Linked DNA regions of Tribolium castaneum. The protein of the gene in region 2 purifies or fractionates together with the protein of the main gene of each other region. This does not show direct contact. Links are inferred from orthologs where the notes say so. Each region holds a gene or a part of one and is shown on either strand. Other genes may lie near its edges.

Evidence for each region.
Region 1: the proteins of dac (region 2) and Jra purify together in Homo sapiens (affinity purification with western blotting; 3 studies listed by BioGRID and IntAct, with this or other methods). This does not show direct contact. The link is inferred for Tribolium castaneum from reciprocal best matches to the Homo sapiens genes DACH1 and JUN.

What each region holds. Positions count from the first base shown.
Region 1 is NC_087399.1:145,967-149,534, reverse strand, and holds Jra (Jun-related antigen), read left to right. Parts: upstream 1-1,575; 5' UTR 1,576-1,719; intron 1,720-1,767; coding exon of another isoform or gene 1,768-1,840; intron 1,841-1,881; coding exon of another isoform or gene 1,882-2,000; 5' UTR 2,001-2,008; coding exon 2,009-2,692; 3' UTR 2,693-2,908; downstream 2,909-3,568. Other genes in the region: uncharacterized protein LOC663924, read right to left, coding at 227-290; phosphatidylinositol N-acetylglucosaminyltransferase subunit Y-like, read left to right, coding at 1,768-1,840, 1,882-2,000; ClC-b (H(+)/Cl(-) exchange transporter 7), read right to left, coding at 3,058-3,240, 3,289-3,372, 3,428-3,568. UniProt on the Homo sapiens protein: Transcription factor that recognizes and binds to the AP-1 consensus motif 5'-TGA[GC]TCA-3'.
Region 2 is NC_087402.1:2,086,841-2,091,106, forward strand, and holds the start of dac (dachshund homolog 1), read right to left. Parts: upstream 3,124-4,266; 5' UTR 2,935-3,123; coding exon 2,276-2,934; intron 1-2,275. UniProt on the Homo sapiens protein: Transcription factor that is involved in regulation of organogenesis. Seems to be a regulator of SIX1, SIX6 and probably SIX5.

The DNA.
Region 1 (3,568 bases), on a different chromosome or scaffold from region 2:
AATTTTTTTAGCGAAAGTATTTCTAAAATTGTCTACAATACAAGTAGCGATTTACTTGAATTGGTGGAAAAAATTGGAGGGGTCTCGAAGGGTGCGAACAATAAAAGTAGTTGATTATGTAATCATTACTGTCTCACAAGTGTAGCACTTCACAAGTGTAGCAATAATTAAATAAATTTATGAGAGGCATAAGTTAAATTCGAACTGGAGGGTGTTTTATACTTACTTGATTTCAAACACACTAAAATAAGAAGAAGGGATAGTCCAGTAATGTATTGTAAATGGACCATTATTGGTTTGTGTTAAAAATTTCAAACGAAAAGAATTATTTAATTTAAATAAAATTAGATTATATGATCACGAAATGTTCGGTTTGAGTTCAATATGAAGACTGAATGCAGCTTCAAATAGGGCCTGCGCGAAACCTTGATTCTAACGGAAAGATTCATAAAGTGCGATCTGCGTTTAAGAAAAATATAACGGATTGTTTTTTCAATTTTTATTGATTGATAGTAAATGAACTGAAGTGAAGAAGGGTTACCATTTCCGTAATTACAAAAAAAAAAGTTGGCGTATACGTGTTACTGATTTGCTATGATGTGGCTCGATTAACTCCTACATAGTTTTTTTTTTCCGAAAAAAAAAATGTTTCGTTCGTGTTGCAAAGTCTGCAAAGTTGTGTCTACCCTTTAATTTATTATCCTAATTAGTATTACGAAACCGTTTGATACAATTGGATAATTCACCATATCCGTCCAAATTTGTTGCAATTGATGAAATAACACGTTGAATAACACCATCCATTTTTCCGCTTTGCGAAGGCGAGACAGGAAGTGGCAAATATTCCCTGTGGAATTATTATTTGCAAATCAATTTTATTTGGGTTTTTTAACCTATGAACCGTTGATGTATACCAAGGACGGACCAAGGAGCTCCTTGATGCATACACTCGGGGACGTATTTTGATCGAAAAAGTAATTTAAATGAATTATCCTATTAAGGTCAAGGGAACTGTGTTTACCCTAGGCAAACTAGCTCATACGCTACAAATAAAGCAGGTTAGGAATTTTTTCGTCATTTTGAAGAAATAGACAACTATTGTTGATCTCTTTATTACAATTTCTGTTATTTTAGTGCCAATGCTTCTTATCATACATTTTCTAAATAAAGGTTTTTTCCTCGCATGATAATTAAAAATAGTTATCTATTTGGTTATTACCATAATTTGTTTTTATTTTGTAGTACTTATCGCATTTAAAGTCGGACAGAATATAAAATATTTACACTTTTTTCTTTGTTTCCAAAGTTTTTTTGTAAATTAAATCACAATTTTTGAATGAAAATCGGCTAAAACTTTAGTCGTTAATATCACTGTCTTTTCATTTCTTAAATCGTATTTTTTGGATGGGGTAAGATGGGGTTCAAAGATCATGTTGGCAACCCGTAAAACACTGCGGTCAGTTTCCTGTAGAATTGTCTAGGTGTCGCTTTAGCGAATCATTTCGACATGACGTCATTCTCATTTCTGAAAATCCATGAAAGGGATGACTCATTCATATCGAAAGTTATTACGTCGTATTTGTTAGTATTCTGTAGTATTTCGAGAACAATACTACACAAGAAGTTAAAAGTTATATTCAAGAAATTTTCAAGCCAGTGTTGTGCTACATTGTGAGTCATTACAAATAAAAGCGCTTTGCTTTTGAATGTGGTGTTAAAGTAAGTGTTATAATATTAAAGATTCATTATTTACTTTTTTACCAAGTAATGCTTGAGGGACACCTCACAGACCTTCACTTTGTTTTCTTCTTCGAGAATCTTCATTTCTCGATATTCTTTTGTTTGCTATTGACGTAACTTAACCTAAAATTTCCATTTCAGATTTTATGGAAATTAGTGATTCCGTTTATTATTCACTGTTGGCTTTGGTCGTCGTGCCTGTTTACCTATTTTTCAATCTTTGGTCGTGGTTAGGTTGGGAATTGTACAAAAATAATTGATAAAAAAAATGAGCGGACCCAACTTTGAAAGTCAGCAAAAAAACCTCAGTAACATGAAGAAAAATCTCACTCTTGATCTTAATCAGTCGAAAATGAACATGAACCTATCGTTATCCCCCGACATCACGTCCGTCCTCAAAGTAGATACCCCTGACCTCCTCAAAGTGGACACACCCACCATTGAGAACATCATCTTGGCGAATAATATTTCACACACGCCTTCCCCTTCACTTATCTTCCCGCGGGACGTCACTGTGGAGCAAGAGAAGTTTGCAGGCGGTTTCGTCGAAGCGCTTAATTATCTTCACAATGGCAATTCTCAGCAAGGTTCTGACAGTAATGCCAGTACGGTTTACAGCGAACAGCAGAATTTCATGCCTGTGATCAAAGAGGAGCCCCAAACGGTGCCCAACGTGAATAATACGCCCCCAATGTCTCCTGTCGATATGGAATATCAGGAAAGAATGAAATTGGAGCGAAAGAGACAAAGGAATAGACTCGCAGCCTCTAAATGTCGTTCCCGCAAATTGGAACGAATCTCGAAATTGGAGGATAAAGTCAAACTGTTGAAAAGTGAGAATGTTGAATTGGCTTCAGTGGTCAACCAGTTGAAGGAACACGTGGGGATGCTCAAATTGGAAGTGATGGAACATGTGAATGCTGGCTGTCCCATCATTGCGGGACAGTTTTAAGGATAGAGTACGATTTATATTTTTTTATAAAAATTATACACCAGAGTGATTTTTTTATATTTTGGTGCTGAGATATTCATAGTTGTAGCTTTAATACTGTGACCATATTTTGTATGGAGCCATTTGAATTGTATTATTTACGGTAGATTTAGCGCGATTTGTTTTATTTTATGTAGTTTATCACATTTTTATTAATAAAAATTGTCTCAGTAACAAGTAGTGAATTCATTAAAAAAAATTGGTTAGAATAAAAACAATGGAAAATGGGTAAAGTCTTTAATTAACAATAAATAAAATTCTTTTGTCAAAAGCGACAACATAATTATTCGTGAAACTATATCATCATATCATAATACTGTAAGCGGTCATATTTCTTTGGAAATTAATAATTCTTCTACCCCCATGCGACCCCGATGTCTCCAGACTCTATAACGAGCTAAATCTTTCCTTGTTACCATTCCTATAACCTCATTTGTGTCATTAACAATCGGCAAATGTCGTAAACCGAGAGCTCGGAATAATCTAAACATTCGAGGTAGTGATGCCGACTGAAAAAAAAAAATGATTAAATGCTAATTACTTGTTTTTTTAATTACATGAAGCACCGTATATGGTGACGGATTCATAAACGGCCTCAGATCAATAGAATAAGTTTTTTCAACTTCGGAAACACTCACTTGCTAAAGAATTAAACTTAATTACTTAAAAAGGAAAGGGCGAGAGAAATACCACTACCTCTATTGTTGGATATCGGGGATACTCATCTCGAAAGATTCCCGCATTAATATCCTCCCAAAAGTCCGAATTTTCGTTAAAAATCTTCTTTTTCAAAATAACAATTAATTGTGACCTCAAAACTAACCCTCTTATTCTCCC
Region 2 (4,266 bases):
CTATCCCAACATTTCCATTTGGTCTAGAATGAATTTACGACGCAACAATGTAGTAGGCAATAATGCAAACCCATTACGGGCTGACTATATTCACTATGTATGAATGTGCAAACATAAAAATTTAAGTCCCCTGTCAATTTTAACCTTTGCCATAGTCCCGTAATAAATAACAGTGTGATTTTCTCGAACAAGTTGTAGGTCTACCCGCTTCGGATATTTTAATGGCAAGGCGTAACTGTCAACAATATTTATTTAAAGATGATTTAAATCCCCACAAGAACACTATGCTCCCGTCTTGTTTATTGTTACACGTATCCCATTGTTGTTTTCTACTTTGTATGGCTTTAACGTCTCTTAATTACCTCGCTCAAGTTTCGGTTTTTTCGAAAAACCTTGCGTGATGTTTAACAAATTCCATTAAAGACCACAATACAAACAATAGCGTTAATATTTATATTATAAATGGTCAGTAGCCGAGGCCAGGCTCGGGCGAGGATGAACGCACCGGGAAGCCTCAAAGATTTTCCGATAGCCTACGCCTTTATAATAGCCGAGTGCTAATAGGTTCTGTCAGATGACCGTTCAACTTATCATCCCTTTATACCATTCGAAATAATATATCGATTGAGAGGCGCCACTCGGACCTCACGAAACATTAATAAAACACGTGCGTTATCTCCAGTTTTATAATATATGATTGGAATTCAGACGAGTTTCATGTTATTGAATCAACAATCGTCGAGTATGCAGAAATAGAAAGGGGACGCTATCCTGCACTCGATTCTCCCCTTGTTTCATTGCGTTTATAATTATTTCAATCTAAACGCGGGGGTTTGTTGGCCCAGTTTGTATTTATAGACTGCATCTATCATAAATGCAATTGTCTCTGCTGTCTTGGCAATCGGGGGAATTCTACCAATGCAAGGGGTAGGCTTCAAAGAGAGCAGCATTTATAAATTATACAAAGGTAACTACATTCCAAGCGAGCGCCAAATCAAATTTAGACCTTTGTACAAGCTCAAGAACAAAATTAAAAAAGCAAAATTACTATTTTTTCGTATTTTTATGTTTTACTACAATTAGCCTATATTATATCTTTGCGATTTTTTTAAGAATAGGTATAACAGAAAGTATTTTTGACAGTGTAGTAAAATTCAAAGCTGTAGCTAAAAGTTTCATTGTGTTATCAACAAAACAACAAATCTCGGGCCAATTTTTCGTAATTTTTGCGCTTATATTACAATAGTTTAGCGTCTTTTTACTCATACACAATCATTTTTAACTTTGTTTTTCTGTAATCTACCTCATTTTTAGTTATTTGTTTAAAGTTTCCAAAAATGTACCTCCGTTTGGTTACTTTGGTATAATATAGGCTATCTTCCCCTAACGACTATAGTTACAAATGTTACAACCATATATTTTTCAAAATTTATCCCCAGTATAAAATTACCTGACGATTATAAAATCCGCGCATAATTTATTCCCGAGATAGAAAAGAAAGTCATACTTTTGTGTAGAAACATTTATAAAAATTTTTTTGAACAAATCGATTTTGTTTTCCAGTATGATTTCATGGAAATAAAAGTAAAAATAAAATTAATAGAGCATGTCATTATTGTCATTGACCCCACTTGTGAGTAAATATCTGTAGGTACGGTAAAAATAAGGTAGGTACCACCTAACTAAACACTAAAAAATGTATAAATTTTTAACTTCATAAAGGAAAATCGCATTTCAAACAATGGTCGATGACTTATCACTGTAGTAGGTTAAATAAAAAAAAATATATAAAGAACAAAAACAATTAAAAAACAGAACTTCTTTAGAAAATTATAAAAAAATTATAAAATTATAAAAAATTAGAACCCCATAATGTAGGTTCCGAGATTAAAAAGTAATAATGTAATTAGTATTGACAATAATAATAGATACGTATAACAGTAATTAATTCACTTTAAAGTCGAATTCATTTGAATTGGCATCATCAGTGATTAGGAAACTATTACTGTATGTTAATTTTATAAATACCTATTTAAATATCGGTAGGTAATGCATATTTATAATGGCAAGCATCAACAAACAAAAAATTGTTTTTTTTGCACTGCTTTGCTATGGATCGTTGTCATAAATACCTATATTCGTCTGTGGTATCATAATCAATATAATTTGTTCAAAGTCACATTGATCTAACAATGATCAAAGTCCTGGAATCGCTGAAGTTGTCGGCAAATCATTGATTAAAATAAGAACTAATCCAAAATCCGCAAACACGTACCTGGCCGTAGTGCAGTCTCTGTAGAGTGTATCGAAGTCTTTGCATGAGAGTAGCTTGCATCTGTTAACCCCTGGTTGAATGGCACCGAGTCCTCTCAAGATCCTGACCTGCTCGACGTTACAAACCAACGGCACGATGTCTAGCCTTTTAAGCTTGGTATAAACCGTATGCAGTCCTCCGACGAGGTGCTTGAGGAAGAGCTCAAAGGCTTGCGGAAGACACAGCATGGTATCGCCGGCGATGATAAAAGCGGCGACCTTCTGTCCTCTGTAATCAACCAGTTTGCACTCATTAGCCGTGGGATCGGAGGTGGAAATCGGCGGCGGGCTGTTGTAGGACCGTGGCGGTGCGTGATGCGCCATGAGGTCCAGAGGGCTGTGCAGCACCCCCAGCGAGTTGAGCAAGCCCAAGCCGGGGGGCGGCAGGTGGCCCAGAGCCATGCTGCGGGCCAGACTGGCCGAGCTGACGGGCGGCGGGCTCAGCGGGTGCGCCATGGACATGGGCGGCCCCAGCGGGCTGGCCTGGCGCGGGCTGTGCACCTGGTGCGTGTTGCTGTTGGCGGCGGGCGGCGACGGCGACGGCTTGACGGCGACGGCCGGCGAGCCCGAGGACGCGTGGCTGCTGTGCTCGCTGGCGGAGTCCATCCCGGAGTTGTCCATCGCGACGCGAACACCTAGAGCACTGCACCAGAGTCCATCACCCAGAAGAGGAGTCGCAACAGTGAGGGCTCGGATGGATGGCCGGGCGGGGCGTCGTGCGCACGGGGTACACTCTGTACTCGACTGGTGCGGACACGACCGGTACACTCGCCGGGTACAAATGTAATAAATAAAAACATTGGGAAAAAGTGCTGCAAGTGCCGGAAGGCGGGGCCTGTTTCGTCACGCACTCGCCACGGCCTATTGGGTAGAGCGGCTGCGCCTCGTCTGGCCATTGGTGCCCTACCACCACAGAACAGCTACCGCCCACCCTCCGCTACTGAAAGAACTTAGTTTCTTTGTAGCTTTGAGGGCGGATGCAAGAGAACTTGAAATATGAGCTGTGACGTATTGATAAAGAATGTCACCGGGCTGTCGCTGCGGAATCAATACGAGGTGTGCGGGCCGCTTTTTATTCCATACCAATGCACTTCTTTGTTTTAAAACGGACGACACGACAAAAATATAAGCGCCATTTTTATTTAACACAATAACACTAACATTCAAATCGAAGCGCGATTTATTGATTGGGCTTTCTTAACGATTAAGAAGACGCTCACACCAGACATCAGGTCATCAACTGTCAGTATTGATTAAAAGCTTGGATATTACCGAGTGGATAGATTAGTGTTTTAGATTATTTCTATTCGCTTGAGTACCTCATAAACAATCAACATTTTCACAGTCATTCCATCAGCTTTGCAACATTTTAGAAATAATGATGCAAATAGGCAGTGCACCAAAAGTAGCTCGTTTAACGAGCCTTAATTTTATACCATAAAAGACAATTTTAAATTAAGATTTATTTATATAATTATCAAAAAATCTAAGATATTTATACTAGGTATACCAGGTGCTTCAAGTCATCCGCACCTCTCAAAGCACTCTTTTCTAATGAACACCAATTTGAGAAAAAGTGTTTTTTGTAAAAAAGAAACGTTTTAACTAATTTTTAAGTTGTTTAGGTACTTGTATGGTTAATTTTTAATTACTATTTTATAAGATTGAAGTACATATATACTCGATTATTTGAAAATATCGTGCCAATAAACAGATGATAATAATATCTATGAACATGACATTTTAAAACTAGACGAGTGTACATATATTTTCTATAAGTACCGTGCGATTTTCTAAAATTTTGATCTAGTTATCCATGACAATTAAGTTAACTCGATGTTTATTACGAAACTAAGGTTTCAATATATTTTTTATGTTCTTCGGAGAACATTGGCAGATAAACCGATGCTGAAGTTATTTACGCAATATATTTCACTGCTGAGGTAACTGTCA